3 linked regions of the Callithrix jacchus genome follow. The protein of the gene in region 1 interacts with the protein of each later gene in a pairwise test. Links are inferred from orthologs where the notes say so. Each region holds a gene or a part of one and is shown in the gene's direction. Other genes may lie near its edges.

The links.
Region 2: the proteins of TRIM41 (region 1) and FRA10AC1 interact in binary tests that used the Homo sapiens proteins (3 or more experiments, as listed by UniProt). The two-hybrid records come from large-scale screens. The link is inferred for Callithrix jacchus from reciprocal best matches to the Homo sapiens genes TRIM41 and FRA10AC1.
Region 3: the proteins of TRIM41 (region 1) and GPATCH2L interact in binary tests that used the Homo sapiens proteins (3 or more experiments, as listed by UniProt). The two-hybrid records come from large-scale screens. The link is inferred for Callithrix jacchus from reciprocal best matches to the Homo sapiens genes TRIM41 and GPATCH2L.

What each region holds. Positions count from the first base shown.
Region 1 is NC_133503.1:73,616,864-73,624,523, reverse strand, and holds the end of TRIM41 (E3 ubiquitin-protein ligase TRIM41), read left to right. Parts: intron 1-2,196; coding exon 2,197-2,292; intron 2,293-4,483; coding exon 4,484-4,714; intron 4,715-5,229; coding exon 5,230-5,252; intron 5,253-5,452; coding exon 5,453-5,580; intron 5,581-5,984; coding exon 5,985-6,586; 3' UTR 6,587-6,735; downstream 6,736-7,660.
Region 2 is NC_133513.1:86,405,235-86,412,723, reverse strand, and holds the end of FRA10AC1 (protein FRA10AC1), read left to right. Parts: intron 1-4,117; coding exon 4,118-4,196; intron 4,197-5,273; coding exon 5,274-5,316; coding exon of another isoform or gene 5,317-5,350; 3' UTR 5,351-5,469; downstream 5,470-7,489. UniProt on the Homo sapiens protein: May be involved in pre-mRNA splicing.
Region 3 is NC_133509.1:111,078,568-111,086,747, forward strand, and holds the start of GPATCH2L (G patch domain-containing protein 2-like), read left to right. Parts: upstream 1-3,913; 5' UTR 3,914-3,983; intron 3,984-6,304; 5' UTR 6,305-6,314; coding exon 6,315-6,976; intron 6,977-8,180.

The sequences.
Region 1 (7,660 bases):
CAGCCTGGGCAACACAGCAAGATTCTGTCTCAAAAAAAAAAAAAAAAAAAAAAACTATTTGAATTTGTGCTTATGAATTTTGGTTTTGGCAACAATTTAGGGGCCAGGCACGATGGTTCATGCCTGTTACCCGGTACTTTGGGAGACAGAGGTAGGCAGTTCAAGACCAGCCTGGCCAACATGGTGAAACCCCATCTCTACTAAAAATACAAAAATTAGCCGGATGTAGTTGCAGGCACCTTTAATCCAAGCTACTTGGGAGGCTGAGGCAGGAGAATCTCTTGAACCCAGTAGATGGAAGTCACAGTGCGTGGAGATGAAGTCACAGTGAGCCAAGATGGCACTGCTGCACTCCAGTCTTGGCGATAGAGCAAGACTCTGTCTCAAAATAAAGAAACACTAAGTGGTAAATTTAAGCATTATAAATTCTGAACGAATGGAGAAATTATTGACTACTGTAGAAAAGTAGGAAGTTAGAAGGCCAAATTTTGTATAGTTTATGCTGTTTTCATGTTATGAGTTGACTAATTCCATTATTGCTGTAATTTTGTCTCTAACCACTTATTCTGTGCAACAACTGCCGTTTGTCCTCTGGCTTGGTAACCTCTTTAGTTCAGGGGTCATTATCAGGATGTCACTGGCAGCTTAAGCTATAAGTAGCAAATATTAGATAGGTAACATTTACTGGTCTTTTGCTACATGCCAGGCACTGCACTAAGTGTACTATCCTTGAGGTATGTTCTCTTCTTATTTGAAGCTGAGGAAACTGAAAGTATGGCTTGCCTGAGGTCACTTCATTTCACTCTGGTCATGGGAGTGTAGGCTTGGACTCTCCTACCCTATATTATCTCTCAAAGAAAATGAGAGAGAAAGGCTAGTAGAAAACATAAAAAAGGAAAGAACAAATAGGTAGGGCTTATTCCACTCTTTCTGGGCTAACAGCTCTTTATTTTTATTAATTAATTTATTTTGTTTTAAAATTTTTTGAGATAGAGTCTTGCTCTGTCGCCTAGGCTGGAGTGCAATGGCGAGATCTCAGCTCACTGCAACCTCTGCCTCCCGGGTTCAAGGGATTTCTCCTGCCTCAGCCTCCTGAGTAGCTGGGACTACAGGCATAAGCCACCATGCCTGGCTAATTTTTTAAATATTTTTAGTAGAGATGGGGTTTCACTGTGTTGGCCAGGATGGTCCTGATCTCCTGACTTTGTGATCCACCTGCCTTAGCCTCCCAAAGTGCTGGGATTACAGGTGTGAGCCACCGCACCCAGCCCAGCTAAAAGCCCCTTAAAGAAAAAGATTTGACTACAAATTGTGGAAACACAGAGCTCATGTGCCAATTGGCTGTGACAGTTACAGCCTTTGGAAGAGGGGTTTTGTTTTTGTGTCCCATTTAGCAAGCAAGTAAGTGAGCAGGAGAGAAAACAGATGAGCAGAAGCACAGAAATTGAAATAAGTAAAGTGTGGGGAGGGACTCCATAGTGTCCTGGAGGAGGCACACCTGTCAATTATTGGTGCCCTGTGAAGTAATGTATTAGATGTTTCTTGGGATCACAGGGAAGTTGGGTATGGGGAGGATCAGGGCCATTTTCAGGGAGTTGTGTTTCAAAGGAAGAATACCTTGGGCCAAGTAGAGAAAGGCAGTCTCAGACAGAGGAAATAGCATGGAAAGATAATCAGGAAATGACAAGTAATTTTATATAGCCAAACCTCTTAAGAGTCTGTGTGGAAGGCGTTGAGTGTAGAGGTGAGGCTAGAAGTTTGGGATCGATGTTTTGGAAGTTGGTAGAGAACCGTGGAAGGGTTTTTAGCATAGGCAGAAAATCATTAGAAAAGTATTTAAGAGAAAAGGTCTGGGGAGGATTGCCTGTGAAGGGGGCAGGGACCAAAGGTAAGAGTACTCATGGAGAGACTGATGTAGGGCTCAAGCTACTTCCCCCTCAGCTGTGAGTCTGGGGGCTCTCTAGTTTTGAGGCTCCTAGCTTTAGAGAATACACAGGGCCTCTACAAACTTGCACAGAGGGGATTGGAGGCTTTTGTCACCTGAAAGAAGAAAGTGGAGGAAGGAATATGATACTTGACACCCATTGAGTGGGTAGGGATCAGGCTTTGGGGCCCAACTTGCTGTAGGGAGGATTGCAGAGGTCAGCTCTAAAGGGGCAGGTGCCTCTCCCAGCCCCCACTTTTCTATTTCCTCAGGCCAAACTGCAGGGGCACCTGGAACCACTGAGGAAGCACCTGGAGGCTGTGCAGAAGATGAAGGCCAGGGAGGAGAGGCGAGTGACAGAGCTGAAAGTGAGTGAATGCCCTTGACGGGCTGATGGGTACTGTCTGTGGTCAAGGCAAGGAAGGTGGTGCTGCCCATCTCACAAGTGGTGACTTGGTCCCCTGAGGAGGGGACAGCCAATGCCTGGGAGAGGGGTAGATTCTTTTCCTAGGTACTGAGGAGAGGTGGCTTAGAGAATCCGTAGGCATGTCCATTCTTGAGTTCCAAAATGGAGTGGAAACTGAGGCCTGGATTGAAGGGGCTGGGTCTCTGGCCTAAGGCTGCAGAACAGGCTTTCTACCCAGACACCAGAGCTTGAAGTGGGCAAAGCAAAACCCACACAGCAGCCAACAGAGAAGCTGCTGGCCCCAGGATCAATGCAGTCAGTGGGCAGAGAAGCCCTGAGATGAGCCTGACACGGTCTTGGGACACTTGCTGTGTCCCGGGAAGGGACCAGTGTGTTTAAGCTGGGGCAGGAATTAGTGTATGTTAGCATTGCAGAGACCGAATATTTCCTAGTCCAGTGTTTTCTCAGAACCCCCCCACCCTTTTTTTTTTTTTTTTAAAATTATTGCTCACCCTTCTCCAAGGAGTCTTAAGATATTTCTCCATTCCCCACCCCCGGCCTGTTTTCATAAACCCAGCGGGCCCTGCTGGAGTGGGCTGGAACTATGAGCTTCATAGACCAAGCCAAGACCTCCCCTTCTGTCCCTCTTCCTTTCCCTTCCCAGCCAGTGCCTGAGCCTTGCCACTGCCCGGGGCCCATGCTCACTGCCACCTAAACATTAGGGACTGCTGCTGGCAGCTGCTAGGCAGTGAATGTTAGAATCCGTCTGGGAGTAGGACATCATCTTGCTTCTGGCCAGCTGCCCAAGTTGATACTTTTGGGCTTTACTGGGTATAGAGGTAACAGGATTTGTGTGCCCCTGGGGTAGAGTGAAACTGACTGTGGCGGCTATTCCCCTCACGCATCTAGTCAGTTAGGACCCTACTCTGGCCTGTTACTCACAGTGTCTCCAGCTGATGGTAACTGGGTGAAAAGTATGTCCACCACCCAGGATGGCCCATTCTTGGCAAATGGGGTGGAACTGGGCAGGAGATTTTTCTTTTACAGGATATTAGGTATCTACATTATATCCTTGATTTTTGCCTCTTAGCCCACAAAGCATAAAAATATTTACTATCTGGACCTTTACAGAAAAAGTTTTTCAGAGTCCTGTCTAGGGCTTTTGGGTGACTTTCTTAAAGTCACTGTGTTTAATGGTAGAGTCAGGACCCTAACTTCATGTCTTGATTCCTGAATTCTTTTATTCATTTAAAAAAATTTTTACCAAGTGCCTACTCCGGTTGGTGCCATGTCAGGGTCTGAGGGCACTGTGGCAAACTAAAGACATTCTTAGTCCCTGCCAGTGAGAGCTTATGGTACAGTGGGGCAAAGGATGTTAAAGGATATGTCATTGTAAACACAATATTTGTGTGTGTGTGTTTGTGTGTGTGTGTGTGTGTGGTGTGGTGTGTGTGACAGTTTTGCTCTGTCGCCCAGGCTAGAGTGCAGTGGCAGCATGATCTCAGCTCACTGCAACCTCCTCCTCCCAAGCTCAAGCAACTCTCCTGCCTCGGCCTCCTGAGTAGCCAGCACTACAGGCGCATGCCACCATACCCAGCTAATTTTTTGTATTTTTGGTAGAGACAGGGTTTCCCTGTGTTAGCCAGGATGGTCTCAATCTCCTGACCTCATGATCTGCCCACCTTAGTCTTCCAGAGTGCTGGGATTACAGGCATGAGCCACTGCGCCTGGCCCAACGTTTCAATATTATGTGTGCCACAAAGAGAAAACAGTGATATTTGTGGGGATGGTCCTGATTTAGATCTAGAGAAGATATTTGTGGGGATGGTCCCGATTTAGATCTAGAGAAGAGGAAAGGCTTCTCTTGGAATATTTAAGGTTGGACCTGAAGGATGAGTCAAGTTAGACCATGTGGAGAGGAGTGTTCCAGGCAGAGGTTGGTGAGTTTGGGACCAGTGTGCTGGAAGCAAGGGGGTGGCATCTGGTAAGGCTGAGAAGTAAGTCTGGTAGGAAATAAACCTCTTTTTAGGACTTTCTTCGACCTGGGGAGTATAGGGCTCTTTGCCTTGCCTTGTGAAGTGGTAGTTGTAAAACTGGAGGTTATCTTCTTATGTGTTGAGGTGGCATCTACCATCCCCTTTGCACCATTCCAGAGCCAGATGAAGTCAGAGCTAGCAGCAGTGGCCTCAGAGTTTGGGCGGCTGACACGGTTTCTGGCTGAAGAGCAGGCAGGGCTGGAACGGCGTCTCCGAGAGATGCATGAAGCCCAGCTGGGACGTGCGGGAGCCGCAGCCAGTCGCCTTGCAGAGCAGGCCGCCCAGCTCAGCCGCCTGCTGGCCGAGGCCCAGGAGCGGAGCCAGCAGGGGGGTCTCCGGCTGCTCCAGGTAAGCACTGTCCACTCCTTGTTCCCCTAGCATTCTTTGTTGGCTGTCAGGCAGTGCTTACCAAACACCTGTCCAGAGCTGCTGCTTCTCACTGGGAGGAACCCACAATGATTTAACCTGAAGACCAAAAACATTTTTTAAAGCTCGAGATAGAGTTAATGTCGAATGTGGTATGTGTGATGATTATACCCAGTGAAAAACAGAAAGATTCGGTTGTAGGAGAGGTTTAAATGACAGTTGAGGAAAGGATTTTTGACAGTGACTTCCCAAAAAAGGAGAGCAAGTCATATTATGGAAAGGACAGTATTCCTGGGCTTACAGCAGGAAGAGACGAGTTAGGTATGGTGAGGCATGGGGTGGTTGAAATGATGTGTGTCTATTGAGGCCGTGAAGGTGCTGCTTCTCCCTTCCTGCTCAGGTTCAGTCTCTGGCTAGAGATTGGGGAAAGCTGTCCCTATGCAGCTGACACTCTCTTTCTTTCTCCCTCTCCCTCTTTTTGTTTCTCTTATTCCCAGGACATCAAGGAGACTTTCAATAGGTGTGTTCCCACTCTTTACCCTTTGTGACCCAGTGGAATCTGGTTCCCTGTCCCTGCCTCTCTTGGGTATCCCTTTCCTCTCCTTCCTTCCCTAGGACCTGAGTTTCTACCTCCTGGACCCTCCTCTCCTTCCCCTCAGCTTTTGTTCTTCCCTCTGGGAATATCATAGTCCCACCCCCTGCCCGGTCCCCTTCCTCCAGGTGTGAAGAGGTACAGCTGCAGCCCCCAGAGGTCTGGTCCCCTGACCCGTGCCAACCCCATAGCCATGACTTCTTGACAGACGCCATCGTGAGGAAAATGAGCCGGATGTTCTGTCAGGCTGCGAGAGGTAGGGAGGTCACCTCCACGACCTTCCTTTGCCTTTCCCTTCATAGACCCTAGATTGGGTCCTGAGGGAAGTTGAGCCCCAGGGAAATTGTGGGGGTTGAGACGGAGCAGGATATAACCTCAGAGGTTGAGGTTTCAAACCATGAGCAGGTAGTCCTAGTCCAGGCAGGCCTGGTGGGTGGGGGTGGGGTGGAGTGGCAAGAAGAGCTGGGGCTAGGGGAAGACCTGTAGGTATCCTGGGAAGAGGAGCAAGATGGAACCTGGTGGAATCTGAGGCTGGCCTCTAGGATGGTGTGGGGAGCTAGATTCAGGAAGGAGGCAGGAAAGGCCAAATCTGTGGAGTTGGCTGCTGAAAGGGGAACAGTTGTTCTAGCTCTGGCATATTTGTCCTCCCCCCCCCCCAAGTGGACCTGACGCTGGACCCTGACACGGCTCACCCGGCCCTGATGCTGTCCCCTGATCGCCGGGGGGTCCGCCTGGCAGAGCGGCGGCAGGAGGTTGCTGACCATCCCAAGCGCTTCTCGGCCGACTGCTGTGTACTAGGGGCTCAGGGTTTCCGCTCTGGCCGGCACTACTGGGAGGTAGAGGTGGGCGGGCGGCGGGGCTGGGCGGTGGGTGCTGCCCGTGAATCAACCCATCATAAGGAAAAGGTTGGCCCTGGGGGGTCCTCCATGGGCAGCGGGGATGCCAGTTCCTCGCGCCATCACCATCGCCGTCGCCGGCTCCACCTACCCCAGCAGCCCCTGCTCCAGCGGGAAGTGTGGTGTGTGGGCACCAATGGCAAACGCTACCAGGCCCAGAGCTCAACAGAACAGACACTGCTGAGCCCGAGTGAGAAACCACGGCGCTTTGGTGTGTACTTGGACTATGAAGCTGGGCGCCTGGGCTTCTACAACGCAGAGACTCTAGCCCACGTGCACACCTTTTCGGCTGCATTCCTGGGTGAGCGTGTCTTTCCTTTCTTCCGGGTGCTCTCCAAGGGCACCCGCATCAAGCTCTGCCCTTGATCATCCTGCCACCCGCAGGGGCCCCTCTGGTCAGCACTTGGGGGGCGGGTGGTGGAGGAGGGTGGCCCATAAGTTGGAGGGCTCAAAGGCTCTTCCCACTGTTTAGTGTTGCTTCCCACTCCCCCTTGACCCCAGGCCCCTGCTTCTACCTCTAGGAGCCTAAAGAACCCTCCTGGCCTCCAGCTAAGCCTTCTCTCACCTACTATGTCTGTCCACCAGGTCTGCATGGGTCCCTGGTAATGAGAACAGCTGCCTGGTCTTCTCTCCCTGTCTGCCTAGCCCAGCCCTGGGACCTGAATTTGAGTAGGGGTTGAGGGGAAATTGCAATTTCATTCCTTAACTTCCTTTTCCTCATCCATGCCCTTCAACCTTTACATCAGTTCTGAGGCTGGAGGATTTGGGTGAGACAGCGTCCCCATTCCAGTTCCATTTTCTGATGCAAATTTTAGCTGAGGGATTTGGAAGCCATTTGGGGAGGGAGGCAAACTTTCCTTCCGTCCTCAATTTCTACCTCCATAGACCAGCCAGAATTTAGCTTCACTTGAGAGATCTGGAATGGTCGCCATGATTCAAACACGTACCATTACATCGCCCAATAAATTATTTCTTCCCGTTTCCCTTCTCCAGCACTCAATTGAGAAACAAAGCTTATGCCACCTCACCCCCCATCCAGGTCTATTCAGTGCCAGGCTCCTTTCCCCTTTGTTCAACAGACCTGGCTTCCAATTCCTTTCCATATCTTTAATTCCCTCCATTTGGCAAGCCCTGAGGAGAAGCCTGAAGACAGGGGTCTGGGTCCCCAAGAGGAGAGTCTTGGGTATAATCTATTTTTCTAGTAACGCCTTGCCTTGTCACTTATCAGCTTTTGCCCTCTGCTTTGATGGCTGAGGTGAACTCATGTTCTTTGGGAAAAGGGAAGGGGTGCTATGGAAATAAAATATTTGCTTCTCTTGTGAGGTCCATTCCATTAGATAAGGATATGGCTAAGGGTTTTTTCCTTCCCTTCCCCTTCAACGAGAAGCCACAGAACTAAGGCATGTTTTGCATCTTTTACCACCTATCAACAGGGATATA
Region 2 (7,489 bases), on another chromosome or scaffold:
TCGAAAATACAGCCAGGTATAAGGCCAGTGGACCAATGTTAGCCAAGGATGAAATCATAGATACATCAACAAAAGTGTATACAGGCTAAAGTGGGAAAGTGTATTTTAGTTTTCATCCATTTCCAACAATGAGAGGTGTGAATGCTTATGGATTGTAGAAAAAATTCCCCTTTTTTCATTCTAATTTTTTATTAAAAAATATTTTGGGAGAAATTCTTGAATCACTGATTTATGTTATGCTTTTATTTCTTCTGCCTGCCTTCTCCCTCCCACTGTCTTTCACCCCTACCCTGTGAATCCTTCCCTGCCTCCTAGAAATAACCCTTAACTCTGTTTTACTTCTCCTCAACTAAGTGAAATATTTACTAGTAGCAGCAGGGTGAATACTGTGAAGACTGTATCCAGTCTGAAAAACCTCTAGCTTAATTTGGCCTTGAAAAAACAAATTATCCATTTCAAGCTGACCTGCTATTTGGCAGCCAGAAAGCTATTTACCATAGCAAGCAGGAAACATTGACATTGTTATGGTATGCCAACCCCAAATATCCTCTCAGGCAGTCAGCCATCTGTATTACATGGTCTTGGCAATTTCAGACCTCACATTTTGCTGTTTGTTTTATTTCCATTTGGGTAATACTCAGTTACCTTCTTAACCCATTTAACATATGGGTTATTAAAACCAAAGCCATGGAGAAAAACTCAGTTTCTGTCAGCTCAGTAATAAGTGCTTTAGATGTGTTACCTCATTTAATCTTAATAATGGGCATATAATATTCTCATTTTGTAGATGAGAAAAATCAAGACCTAGAGAATGTTTTTAAATGAATGAAGAAACTTAATTTTTAAAAATGCATATATTTAAAGTATACTGATGATTTGCTGCCCTCTTAACAAATTTCAAGTATTGTTGTCTGTAGTCACCATGCACATGACATCTCCCAAGAACCGGAGAATTGAAGTAAAATGTCCAAGGTCAAGTAGTTGATGACAGAGCTGGGATTAAACATAAGTTTATAATTCCAAAGTCTATGCCCTTTATCTGCATCATCAATCAGTTGTTCATCAGTGAAATCAACTGTCTGTCTATTCTTTATACCCTAGTTTTGGCGTATGCATTATACAGATCCACATTAAATGATTTGATCTATGCCTCACTTCTGTCTGTAAAATGGGTATAAAGAGACCTACTTTGTTGGATTATTATCAGAATTGAATGAGAAAACATACATGTAAAGTATGTGCTGACACAAAGTAAGTCCTTGATAACCCGTAGCTGTTATTATCAGAAAAGAAAAATACAGAGATATAAATCCTGTGTTTGTTCTCTAGAATTGATGAAATGAAAAGTTAAGTCTATAAAAATCTGACCTGTCCATTTGTTATCATGATTATTGGAAACATTTGCCATTTCTTCAGTAGGGCAAGTTATTAGTTTTCTTGTAATAGCCACAGAAGCCAAGATGATAGGCCTGCTTTCATTATTCAAAATATACAGGGAAAATTGTATGCAGTCTTAGGCACCACATTCTAAAGGAACATTGAAAACTTGAAGCAGATCAAGAAGAAAAAAACGGAGGTATTGAGAGAACTTGAAATTGTGTTTAGGGAGAATGTTGGAGGAACTGCAGAAGTTGACCTGGGAGACGAGTGAAGGGAAGGGAAGGAAGAGGTGAGGAAGTAGACATGGAAATTACTGTCTGGACATTTGCAAGGCTGCTACTACGTAGGAGACTTATTTTTTACGACTCTGAGTTGGCAGAACTGCTCAAAGACAGACTTTTGCATTAATTTAAGGAAAAACTTGTCCTTTAGAACTGTCTGACAAAAGGAATGGAGAAATGGGCTACCTCTGGAGTAGTGAGTGTTCAAGCATGGATTGGATTGCCACTTGTTATTGGAGGTGTTGCAGTGAGAGGTTCATTCATTGGCTAAGTGTTGGATTAAATTACCTCTGGGTTTCCCCTTTCAACTCAGAGTCAGTGACTTAAATTCTGATCACTACTTCCCAATAAGTACTGAATAGATTTGCCAGTGATGCATTCTTTTGTGTTGCCTGTTCTTCCAGTTGTTCTTTCCTTATAATACCTGTCCCGCTTCTGGTAGGTTGTAACAGTTATGATAGCAATGATTTGTAGTGACTGCCAACCTTCAGGGAACCAGGATACTGTAGATTCATAGGGTTATAAGGGACCGTAAAGGTCATTTAGTCCAGTCTTGTAGACTTGATTCTCTAGGGATATCTGGCCACATTTTTAGTGGGTATTTTTAAAGACAGTTATTTTATAGTGTTACTCTAAACTGACTTTATTTTTTTAGTAAAATTGATTGACTGATATCAGAAAACTGGTGTAAGAAAGCTGGCATGTGGGGAGTACTCTTGGAAGAGAATAAGAAAACAGAGTCAATCCTTTTGAAATTAGCTGTCCACTTCTAAAGGCCTTGTAGGTTTTGTTCTCTGGCATCATTAACAGAGTAACACCATAGTAATAACCTTACTAGCCTAGTTAGTTTTTCTTATTAGTGAGTTTTCATAAAAATAAGAGAAGATTCTAATTCTTTTTCCCCTCATATTATAAATTTGGGACACTGGCCATTCCAGTGATGGCTGTCATTGAGCCTGGAATCTTGTTTTCAAGATTGAAATTTTATCGTTTGTATGTAGATCATTAGAATACAAAATGCCCTCTCCCCTTTTGCTATTTTTGCTAGAATTGGTGCCAGAATAGATTCAGTTAGGAGCAAAGTTCAGACACATGTTGATTCAAGGTTCAGAGTCCAACAGGTAAAAGGCTAGAACCACCATAATAAATCAATGCTGTTTTATTTTTACGTTGTGTTTAACTAAAGGACATTCTATATTGACAGGCCACATTCGTACCATTTCTTTTTTAGACTAATAATCGTTATTGGAGAGGAATTGTTTGCTGATTTAACTACTTTGTGGAATGTGGTGTTATTGCCTGATAATTTTGCAGTATTTTTAAATTTTTAGTTGACTAATACAGGTGATTTATTTGAAATATCTCCATTTTATTATGTTTTTATAAATAAAATATTGTTTTTACTGATTTTGAAGGTAATACATGGTCTTTGTTTAAAATACAAATAATTTAGAAATGTTTAAAATAGAAAGTAAAAGTATTCCAAATCCACAGGTAGTATAATCACTGTTAAGTTTGGTTGGTTTTTGCAAACTTATAATACATATATAAAATTACATGTATGTATATAACATGTATATACTTTTAACATATGTTATACTATTCATACTTTTTGTAACTTTTAAAAAATTTAATATAGAATGGACATTTTTCTATGGCAGTACATACAGATATGCTGATATTTTTAAACAGCTGTATAGTATTTAACCAGTCCTTAATCCCTACTTCATGGTAATTTAGGTTGGATTTTTTTGTTGTTGTTATACCGTGTGCATCTTTGCTTATGTAACAGAGGTGCTTATTTGTCTATGTCAATAATCAAATTCCCAAAAGCAGCATTGCTGGTCAAAGGGTATGTGTTTTAAACTTATCTATATTGCCAGATTTTCCTCAAGAAGTAGGTTTACAGAATTTTCACTCCCAGCAATGTGTGAGAATGCCAGTTTCTTCACTGAAACAGACTTCTTCCAATTATGTAATCAGCACTGGTTTTTTAAAATGTCTGACAATTAAAAAAAAATAATTTAGCTGGTCTTACATATTAGCTCAGTTCTTAAGGTGCTAATTCTAATGTAAACATGTTCTCTACAAGTATAAGTCTTAACTTGCATGTCTTCTGCAGAACCATGAAAAAGAAGAAGCTAGATCAGAGACAACTATATTGCAAGAGATAATTCTCTTACAAAAGTTAATATTGGAATTGCTACTTTAACTCAGTGTAACTTAGAGAATTTCCATGAGACTTAAAAATCCTTGGCCTTTTTGCTGAGACTCTGGTTGGCTTATTTATATATGTTTCAAAAGAATTTATCATACCTGTGAGAGTGAATTAAACTTCTGGAGAGCCATAAAAATTGAAGCTCAGTTAAGTAAAAAGTTAATTGTATTGGTAAATAGTTAAAAATGTGTTTTAAATATAATACATTTTTTAAAAATCATCTCTTTTAAATTAACAGGAAACTCTGATAAGGAAGAAAATACTTCGGAATCTGAACTTTGGAAGGGTCCATTACCAGAGACAGATGAAAAATCACAGTAAGTGCTGATATTAATAGATAATACATACCTTTTTTTTTTTTTTTTGGTAGAGACAGAGTCTCCTTCTGTCACCCAGGGTGGAGTGCAGTGGTGCAATCTCAGCTCACTGCAACCTCTACCTCCCAGGTTCAAGCAATTCTCCTGCCTCAGCCTCCTGAGTAGCTGGGACTAGAAGTGCACACCGCCATACCCGCCTAATTTCTTTTGGATGATATGTACCTTTTAAATCAGTTTAGAAGCTATAATCGTGGCTTTATTAATGAAAAAATACAACATTATGATGATCTGTTTAATGCCCAGGACTGCCTAGCCTGGTAAGATTAGAGCGTATTCCCAGCCATTGTCATAAGCAGCCAACAGGTCCAGCTTCCTCCTGGTAAAGAAATCTTTGATCAGTTCACTTTAAAAGATGACCTTCTGGTCCTTGTTTGGATTTCTTCAGAGATGGCTGTATCCGAGAAGCCTATTCCATGATACTGTGATTATCATAAACCTATGCAATGGAGCCCCTTGCATGGGAAGTACACTTCTACACTGCTGTCATACTAGTTTTTGTTTTAAAAAAATAAAACAATAATATCTACTGCTACAAATACATAATATATTTACTATGCTCAGAGTAGTAAAAGAACTACAGCCTAAGCAGATTTACCCAACTCCCCTTAGTTATTCCCCAATGTAACCTAAACTTACATTTTTCTTTAAAAATAGTTTTTCAAAATGTATTTATTGAGGAGACTATAGTTTAAAATGAGAATGAACAAAGAAGTGATAAAGTAAGACAAAAAAGTAAAGAGAAGCAATGACATTTCACAAGTATTTCAAAACAAAATTTTGGGGAATACATTTAGGGAGAGGTACCAACATATGAAATATTTTTATTTTAAACTGGGTATAGTTATGATTATTCTAGAAACTAAGAATTATTTGATGGCTGAATAGTGAGAATATATTGATATATAGCAGAATCAGCCAATATGTTAACTTATTTTATTTTATTAATCTTATATAATGTGTCATGTAGTAATTTTTTACTCTATTGATCTTAATATGTATGCTTTTTTTAAAAAATAGGGAAGAAGAATTCGATGAGTATTTTCAAGACTTGTTTCTGTGAGATGAGAGAAAGAAGCCTCCGCTCCTTAATGTGAAACTTTATGAAGTTTTAAACTTCATACACTTTGAAATTTTATGTAAGTTTTTATCTGCAAATTACAGCTTGTATGGTTTGTCTTTGGAAATAAAAATCCAGGTTCTCTTATAATGTCAATTACTTTGGAAATTCATTAGTTCAATTAAAGACTTCCCTATCCTTTAAATATCTTTTCAATTGCTTACCTACAATTCTGTTTTATCTGTAGCTCCTAGGGGACAGAGCTCATATTCTGTACAGATTCCATTGTTCCTATATATTTTTTTCACTGATTTATATTTATCCTCTCTTGCCTTCATTATTTTTTTTAATTATTTTTTTCTTTTTTTTAAGCCACCATATTGGATTTGTTTGTTTTTTTTAAATTTTTTTTCTTTTGTTGAAACAGAGTCCTCCTGTGTTGCCCAGGGAGGTATTCAAACTCCTGGTTTTACGCATTCCTCCCATCCTGGCCTCCCAAAGTGCTGGGATCACAGGTGTGAGCCACTGAGCCCTGTCAATTATTTTAAATTACTAGGATTAAAGTAGATTATGTATGTCTTTAACCTCTTTCCCATTGATAAACTGGCACCCTTTTATTAAGCACCTGCTTTCCCACCTATTTCCAGCTGCTTTTTGGGGTTTTTTGCTTGCCTGTCTCTTGCTTCTTTCTTATCTCTACCACTTAAGAGAGTTTGTTATAATCAAATTTGACTTCTTAGCCTGTGGATAATTTACTGTTAAGTAAATGATTACCACAGGGAGCCAGTGAGGTCCTAGTAGTCTAAAATAGTGCATGTGTTCACAAAATTGACTCTCTTAACAGAGATTATGCAATGAGATAATTTAACTGAATAATCTTGTGTGCATATAGCTTACCTTGGATACACTCATAAAATTATGAATATGCTTCTGATATGGTTTTGCTCTGTGTCCCAACCCAAATCTCATCTTGAATGTGTACTCTCAAAATTCCCACGTGTTATGGGAGGGACCCAATGGGAGATAATTTGAATCAAGGGGACGGTTTCTCCATATTGTTCTCATGGTAGTGAATAAGTGTCATGAGATCTGATGGTTTTATCAGGGGCTTCTGCTTTTGCATCCTTCTCATTTTCTTTTGCTGCTGCCATGTAAGAAGTGCCTTTTGCCTCCCACCATGATTCTGAAGCTTCCCCGGCCATGTGGAACTGTAAGTCCAATTACAATTTTTTTTCTTCTCAGTCTTGGGTATGTCTTTATCAGCAGCATGAAAATGGACTAATACATCTTCTATGAAGAAATATAAAATGTAACTTTTTAACATAAGATCTTACTCATAAGGGTCTATGGAGATGCTTCAGGAGATCCATACCTTTTTAGAATCTATGTGTAAACTTCTGTGTCTATGGTATGTTTTTTGGAGGAAGTCCATAAATGTCAAGTTTTCAAAAGGATTTATTGATTTCTGAAAACAGGTAAATACCTGCTTTTATAAAGAGCAAATAGATGGATAGATATAGGAGAAGTTGCTTGACTTGATGAATAAGAGAAAAGACATATAGAAAATAATCATAACATAAGCAAGTATTTTATTGAAGATTTAAACATGGAATGATTGGCATTAAACTCCAAAATAAGTAATTTGGTATCTTATTTTAAAATGATTATTATCAGGTATTTTCATTTTATTAAAAAGTTGTTATTTATTCCACAAATATTTATCAGGCTTCTATTATGTGTTAGGCACTGAGCGGGGCTTGTCCGTAAAGGAACTAGCTGGGAAGTAATTATGCAATCATTTCTGAACCTCTTTCAGAAAAGTTAATCAGTGTTGGGTTTATCAGTATTTAACATTGTTTGATAGTCCCCTCACTTGAATAAACTGATTTTTTTCACCTCACTACTTATAGTATATAAAAACGAATCTACATTTCTGAGGAAAAAGTGCTTGAAATGTCCAGCAGCAAGATTGATATCCGTGGTAGAATATATGCAGTTAAACATTCTTATGGTAAAATATGTCCTTTGTTTAGTGGTCGTCGGGAAATAAAATTCCTGCAAAATTAAATTAGGAATTTAACTAGGAAGAATATATAAGACCCTTTAAAAATAGATCAGTATATTTGGTATTTCAAGTATGGTTTATGACATCAGGCTCATTTATAAATTTATATAA
Region 3 (8,180 bases), on another chromosome or scaffold:
TAATGCATGCAAGGGAAGAATGTTGGGTACACATTTCACTGTCATTTCTGTAAAGGGATGGCAAGAGGGACATGAGTGGAGGAGCTACAGATTTTGCCAAGGTAAATGGCCGCAATGTTTTTTGGCCCCAAGGGTGGGTGAGAAAGAAGATGGTGGTGGATATGGGAGGATGGCCTGAGTGATGGCAGATGTAAAAGCTAGGACACTCTTGGCTGCAAGAACAGAAACTGCAACCCAGAGTTGCTTAAACAATAAGGACAGTTTTTGGGTCACATAACAGATAGTTCTGGAGTAGATCCTTCAGGGTTGGTTTATCCAGTGCTCAGCAATGTCATCAGAGATCCAGATTCTTTCTCTCTCTCTCTTTCCTTCCTTCCTTCCTTCCTTCCTTCCTTCCTTCCTTCCTTCTTCCTTCTTTTCCGTTCTTTCTCTTTCTTTTGACAGAGTCTTGCTCTATTGCAAAGGCTGAAGTGCAATGGTGCTATCTCAGCTCACTGCAACCTCTGCCTCCCAGGCTCAAGTGATTCTCGTGCCTCCGCCTCCTAAGTAGCTGGGATCACAGGCATGTGCCCTCATACCCAGCTAATTTTTGTATTTTTAGTAGAGACAGGGTTTTGCCATGTTGGTCAGGCTGGTCTTGAACTCCTGGCCTCAAGTTATCTGCCTGGCTCAGCCTCCCAAAGTGCTGGGATTACAGGTGTGAGCGACCGCACCCGGCCAGATGTCCAGATTCTTTCTATTTCTGCCCTGCCATCCTCAGTGCTGGCTTTCTCCTCAGGATGCTAGCCAGGAGGTTGTGGCAGCTATGAATGTCACATCCAGGCATAAAAATTTCCACACAGAGAAATGGTCTCTTTCTGTAATGCTAAGAGGAGAAACATCTCAGAGTGTGCCCCCAACAACTGTCCTCTCATGTCTCATTGCTCACTGTTGGGTCATGTGTGCACTCCCGACAAAATCTGCATGGGCAGTGGGATTGGTCACTCCTCCAGATGGGATGGAGATCAGCATTATCCTAGCAGTGGACTAGTGGGGTATTATGGGCTGAATAGTGTTCCCCCTGCTAAATTCATCTGTTGAAGCCATAATTGAAGTGCCTCAAGATATGACTGTATTTGGAGACTGGACCTATACAGAAGGGATTGAGTTTAAAATGAGGCTGTTAGGGTGGGCTCTGATCCAATCTGACCGGGAGGCTGAGTGATCTGCCCTCCTCAGCCTCCCAGAATGCTGGGATTACAGGCATGAGCCACTGTGCCTGGCCTATATTTGACATTTTAAACTGGAAATGCTGGTGAGGTAAACAAGTGGAGATATCTAGTAGAAAGACAAAAATATAAGTTGGATTTCAAGAAATTTGGGAGCTCTCAGTGCTGATGCAGGCAACCAACACCATGAAAACAGAGATGATTTGTGGGAGAAAATTTTCATTTATGCAGAAAAGAGGCCTGATGGCTGTGGACACCTGTTGAATATTTCCATATTTGTGACTCCTGTGGGAGTCACAAATTCAGCATGTCCAAAATGGAATTAATCATCTTTCCACCAAACCTGTTTATCTTCTTGACTTCTGTAGCTGGGCACTGACCATTATCTTAGTCATCCTAGCTCGAAACCTTGGCTATCTTTGTCTCCTACCTTGACTTTTTACACAATGTTTCACCTATAGAAAATTCTGAAAATACACACACACACATACACACACACACACACACATGAGATATAATCATTGATAATGAAACTTTTGGATGTTGTGTAGTGTATTCTTCTGGTCATACGCCTATGCAAGTATAGATTTAATTTCCTTTGTATGTGACTCATACTCTACATGTTTAATCTTTTTATTGAAGTATAACAGTCATTCAGAATTGTACACAATCATAAGTCAGTGGCTTTTCATGTCATTAAATATTCTTTTGCAACACCAATTTAAAAAAGTTGCAAGGTATTCCACCATAGAAGTACCATCATTCAGTTAACTAATGCCTGTTATAGAACTTCTGGCTTTTTCTAGTTTCCTCATCTCTCCCTCAAAAATGCTGCAGAGATAATTTACCTATATTTAACATTTTTGTGCCTATTTTCAATTTTCCCTTAGAATAAAATTCTTAGGGAAAAATTTCTGGGACCAAGGCATATGCATATTGTAAAATATTTTTTTATTTTAGGATAGTTTTAGGTGTAGAGAAAAATTATGAAGATACTACAGTTTCTGTATAATCCACACAATTTCCCCTATTATTCACTCTTTTTTTTTTTGAGGAGTCTCGCTCTGTTGCCCAGGCTGGAGTGCAGTGGCTCTATCTCCGCTCATTGCAACTTCCACTTCCCTAGCTCAAGCTATTCTCCTGCCTCAGCCTCCCAAGTAGCTGGGATTACAGGCATATGTCACCAAACCCGGCTAATTTTTTGTATTTTTAGTAGAGAGGGGGTTTCTCCATGTTGGCAAGGCTGGTCTCTATCTCCCGACCTCAGTGATCTGCCCACCTCGGCCTCCCAAAGTGCTGGGATTATAGGCGTGAGCCATCGCGCCTGGCCCAATACATTATTATAGTTGATACTTTATCCAGTTTTCCTTAGTTTTTACCTAATGTTCTTTTTTAAATTGCAGTGTCACAGCCAGGATACCATATTACATTGTCATGTCTCCTTAGGCTCCTCCTGGCTCTGAGTTTCTCAGACTTTCCTTGCTTTTGCTGACCTTAACCATTTTGATGAATACTGATCATGCACTCTGCAGAATGTCCCTCAATTCAGGTTTGTCTGATTTTTCTTTTCTTTTCTTTTTTTTTGAGATGGAGTTTCGTTCTTGTTACCCAGGCTGGAGTGCAATGGCACGATCTCGCTCACCGCAACCTCCACCTCCTGCGTTCAGGCAATTCTCCTGCCTCAGCCTCCTGAGTAGCTGGGATTACAGCCACGTGCCACCATGCCCAGCTAATTTTTTGTATTTTTAGTAGAGACGGGGTTTCACCATGTTGACCAGGATGGTCTCGATCTCTTGACCTCGTGATCCACCCGCCTCGGCCTCCCAAAGTGCTGGGATTACAGGTGTGAGCCACCACGCCTGGCCTGATTTTTCTTTTCTTATAATTAGACTGGGGTTATGAGATATGGAAGGACACTATCATAAAGTGCCATTCTCATTACATATCATTCCACATACTATCAACATGATTTAGCACGTACTCTTGGTCACCTGGCTGAATTACTGTTTGCCAGGTATCCACTGTAAAATTACTCACTTTCCCCTTTTCATATGTTGTACTTTTGGGAAAGAAGTCAATATGCAGAGCCCACATTTAAGGAGGTGGAATTTATGCTCCAGGATGGTGTGTCTGCATACTTTGAGATTCTTCTGTGGGGGATTTGTTTCTTCTCCAATCTTTAATTCATTCAGTCGTTTATTTATATCGGTATGGATTCACGAATATTTCTTTTATACTTTGAGTTATAATCCAGTATCACTTGCTCAAGGCAGTTTGTAATGTTCTGAGTAACTCAGTGCAAAACAACCCCCCCAAAGGTTGTACCAGCTCACAGGGCAGATGTCATTAAGATCCATTTCCCCTCAACTTCGCACACCCTTTATAAAGGTCAGAAAGCAAGGGGGAAGCTGACAACCCTCCCTAGCGTCAATTTCTGGACGCCCCTAAGGAAGATGAGGCCAGCCTGCTGGAGTAGTTCCCAACACGGGCACCTCAGCCCCTGAGGCGCCCTTTCCCGGCCAGCCCCTATTCACCATCCTTCCTTGGTCCCTGCCCCATCTCCCGGCTTCCTGCAGCCCCGCCCACCTCAGGGCGGAAGTGGGTGTGGCCACGGGCGGAAGCACTGGGTCGGGGGCCCGCTCTTGCAGCCAGCCCCACCCACTCGCCGCCGCCCCACCCCTCCGGCCCAGAACGGAAATGAGGTCAGAGAGGGAAACCCCGGCGGTGAGAATCGGCCCAAAAAGCGGCGGCCGTTCGAGGTGGCTGCGGCAGCTGGTGAGGGGGTGGAGTGGGTTGAGAGTGTTGGGGTCCTGAGGGCTAGGGCCATAGGGGATCGGATCGCCAAGCAGCGGCTGAGCGGCTAAGGGCGTCTTGGGGCTGCGGCAGCCGGCCGGAGGGTGAGGGTGGTGGGGCCTTGCTTTTTCAGGGCCCATGTCCCTATCCCTGGGGGTGTGGGTCGGACAGTCTCCGGGGCCACAGCCCCCTTTTCCCCTTTCTTTCTGCCTCTTTGGGGCTGGCGGCAGCATGAGGGCTTGGGAAACGGGCCATGGTCGCTCCAGCCCTCAGGGACGGGCCGGGGCGTGGTGGAGAGTCCTTCGAAAACAGTTTTTCTCACATACGTGGCCATGTTGCGACCCCCGATCCCGGAGGGAGCTCAGTCGCTACGACTTCCATTTTGGCAGTTTCTGCTCTAGAATAGCCGAACCCCGTCCTTGGTGAGCCCAAATGAGAAGTTGTCTCCTGCCTCTCGCATCTCCTACTCCGCCCCTCACTTCCACCCTGCTCCTGCCTCTCTTCTTACTTGCTGTCCGCAACTACCAGTTCCTTCCTGTGCGTGACTCAGCCTCATCTCTACCCGGGTGCATGCCTGGTCGCCGAGTCCTCTCGAGAGTGTGCACTCGACTGGAGATGGAAGCCCTAGGGACCTTCTGTCACCTACTGTTCGAGTTGCAGGCTTTGATGCAGGAAAGGATTCTGCACAGGCATTCGACTACTGACTTCGTTCCCTGTTCAAGTTTGTGCTGTTCTGAGGTTTTTGTTTGTACTTTTGTTTTTGTATTTTTGTCGCCTGAGTTTTTAAAGCAGTAATTCTTTATTAGGGAAGTGGATTTAGGCATGCTGTTCCCACTTGTTTCTCTATTTTGGTCTTAGGGACAGTTGTCTCCCAAACCTCAATCATGGCATTTTTAACCAGCTCCCCCCCCCCCATTTTTTTTCTCCTCTTTTCACAGGTGTTGATAAATCACTTCTTATTGCTTAAAAGAACTTGGCCTTTTAAAAGTGTATGTGCCTTTGGACAGTTTGAGAAGCTTTGTTTGTATGGCAGTTTTGGAAGTAGGTGTCACCATTGCTCCTAAAGGTGTGGCAGATAAGCCAGAGGACTGTTTTCCTGCCTTTAAATTCATTGACGTAGGCACGGCATGAAAATAGTATTTAGAAAACGCTTTGCAAAGTGAAAACTGAATGAATGGAAATATGGTCAGAGTGGCACCACATAGAGTTTTAAGCTCTAGTTTTGATCTTGAAATACTTTGGGCACAGGGGCAACGAAAAAAGTGCTAAAAATTTAATATGTATTTAATTAGGTGCTGTACAAATTATATTAAACATTTCCCCTTAAGAGGGAATTTTGAAGATTGCTCCTACTGCTCTCGTTTCTTGAAATGTTTGCCTCTGAAGTGACTCCTGAAGTGTGATGTTTGGTTTGAGGATGGATAGAAAAATAAGAAATTTTGGAAAGCAGTTCGGCCAGAAATCTTAGAAACTTCAACTTATCCCTGTCATTTCAGCTGCTGTCGTATCATTTTTTTCCAGTGATTGTGTGGCACTGAAGCACATAAGTAGGATGAACATTTATTTTCTGAAGGATAGGAAAGGGGCTTAAAAATTGTTAATTACTCAGAAATATATGACATACTATATGAGGTTCTATACCTGGTAGCTTTCAGGTGGTAGTTGCTACCAGAATGGGTGCAAACTTAGTCTATTCTCCTTTCTGACTTCAAACCTGGGCACCACAATTTCTTGGATCACAAAAACTGCAGTCTTCTTTAAAGGGTGTCACTAAGTTGTCTTTCTGCCATGGCCATGGAAGGCAGTGACCCCAGGCCAAAGAGCAGTTTTTTATTCATTCTTAATACTCGTTGAGACTGTGTCCTGCTCTGTGTTTCCACAGCTCTGCTGTGATTTTGAAGTTGTGTGTTTTTCTACTCCTGTCTAATGACAATCTCTAATCTTTCTGGATCTCATCATTAGGTAATTCAGTGACACGTTTAATTGGGGAAAGAGAGACGGGTCTAGTTCCCCAAATTTGTTTTGGGTCCTGTCCCAGTTGTCATCTGGTGAGCAGGTTTTTGTGCTTAAGGATATGTTGACTTCAGTCATTTAACAAGGGACAGAACACCTATTTTTAGTGACTTAAGGAAGTGGTAGGAACAGAATCTAAGTGTAGCCAGATGAAAGGTTACTTACTTTGTTTAGGCAGGCGGAACTATGGACTACTATGATCTGTTTTATCAAATTATTCCAAAACAACAGATCCTTTCAGGCTCTCTTTTTCTTTTTCTTTTTTTCCCCTCTGAACTTCCTTTTGGGAGATGTGGCCTCATGGATGAGCTGGTACACGACTTAGCATCAGCCTTGGAGCAAACATCTGAGCAAAATAAGCTTGGTGAGCTGTGGGAGGAGATGGCCCTGAGTCCCCGGCAGCAGAGGCGGCAGCTTCGGAAACGCCGAGGTCGGAAGCGTCGTTCTGACTTCACTCACCTGGCAGAGCATACCTGCTGCTACAGCGAGGCCTCTGAGTCAAGTCTGGATGAGGCCACTAAGGACTGTCGAGAAGTGGCTCCTGTGACCAATTTTAGTGACTCTGATGACACAATGGTAGCCAAACGACACCCAGCTCTCAATGCCATTGTTAAGAGTAAGCAACATTCTTGGCATGAATCTGACTCCTTTACTGAAAATGCACCTTGTCGACCACTCAGACGCAGGCGGAAGGTGAAGCGAGTGACATCAGAGGTGGCTGCTAGCCTTCAGCAGAAGCTGAAGGTGTCAGATTGGAGCTATGAGAGAGGCTGCAGGTTCAAGTCTGCCAAGAAGCAACGTCTGTCCCGCTGGAAGGAGAATACTCCTTGGACCTCATCAGGCCATGGGTTGTGTGAATCAGCAGAAAATAGGACTTTCCTAAGCAAAACAGGAAGAAAAGAAAGGATGGAGTGTGAAACAGATGAACAAAAACAGGGCTCTGATGAGAACATGTCAGAATGGTGAGATCTCCCTTACTAAGTCAAAGATTTTCTTCGTTAATTTTACCCAAAGTGCACATCCGTAGTCTTATGGGCTCTACCTTCTTTCAAACCAGCCACCCTAGTATTGACTTTGAAGCCTTCCTTGAATCAATCAGTAGTTTAGCTTTTTAAGGTACCATTCATGAGTCTATTTCCTTCTGTCAGGAAGGAGACACAATTGTTTCTAAAAACTGTTTAAAACACATACCTCAAATGCACAACTAATAATTTTATGTAAAAAAAATTTGCTGCTTATTATGCCATGTAGTTTGTACATAAATATTGTTCTTTAGAACTCAGGTTTCAGCAGAGGCTGGTATGTGAGTCTGTGAGAGAGAAAATGCTAGTGCAAGGCATACCGAGTTTGTAAATGTTCTGTTAAGTTGCCTGTCCCCATTAAGAATCATGGCTTTAGATACTTTTTGGCTATAATTTTATTCTCTGCTACTTGTGGTTTGACTATATTGAGTTTATTTTTTTATGGCTGGCATTCAAGTCATCTGAACACGTGGTGGGCTTTGAAAATAACAGTGCCAAGTCCCATTAGTCTTCCATCAAATGTGATCAAGCCAGAAAAATTTGTCTCTAATGGGTGCATGTTTAAAAATGTAAGTGTAGTTTTGGTGACTTTTTATTTTTTACATCTCAGATAGTTCTAGGAACATTGATACTGATTATCTTTTTCTTAATAGTGAGGATTTGTTGGTGTTTTGTATGGGACAATTCTTTATGGTGCATTGCAGCGTATTTTAGCATCTCTGCATTGTTCACACCCCCTGTTCCTTTATGAACCCAGAAGCCTCTGGGGTGATCCCTAGGTGGGCTGAGTACAAGCATTTGACAACCAGTGTATTCTATTACTGTTAATATTAGTTGGCATTTGTTAAGCACTATGTGCCAGACACTGTACTATGGACTTAACATATACTATCTCTCTTTTTTTAACAGAGTCTCGCTCTATCACCCAGGCTGAAGTGCAGAGGTGCAAATTTGGCTCACTGCAACCTCTGCCTCCTGGGTTGAAGCAGTTCTCCTGTTTCAGCCTCCTGAGGAGCTGGGACTATAGGCATGGGCCACCTTGCCTGGCTAAGTTTTGTATTTTTAGTAGAGACGGGGTTTCGCCATGTTGGCCAGGCTGGTCTTGAACTCCTGACCTCGTGATCCACCCGCCTCGTCCTTCCAA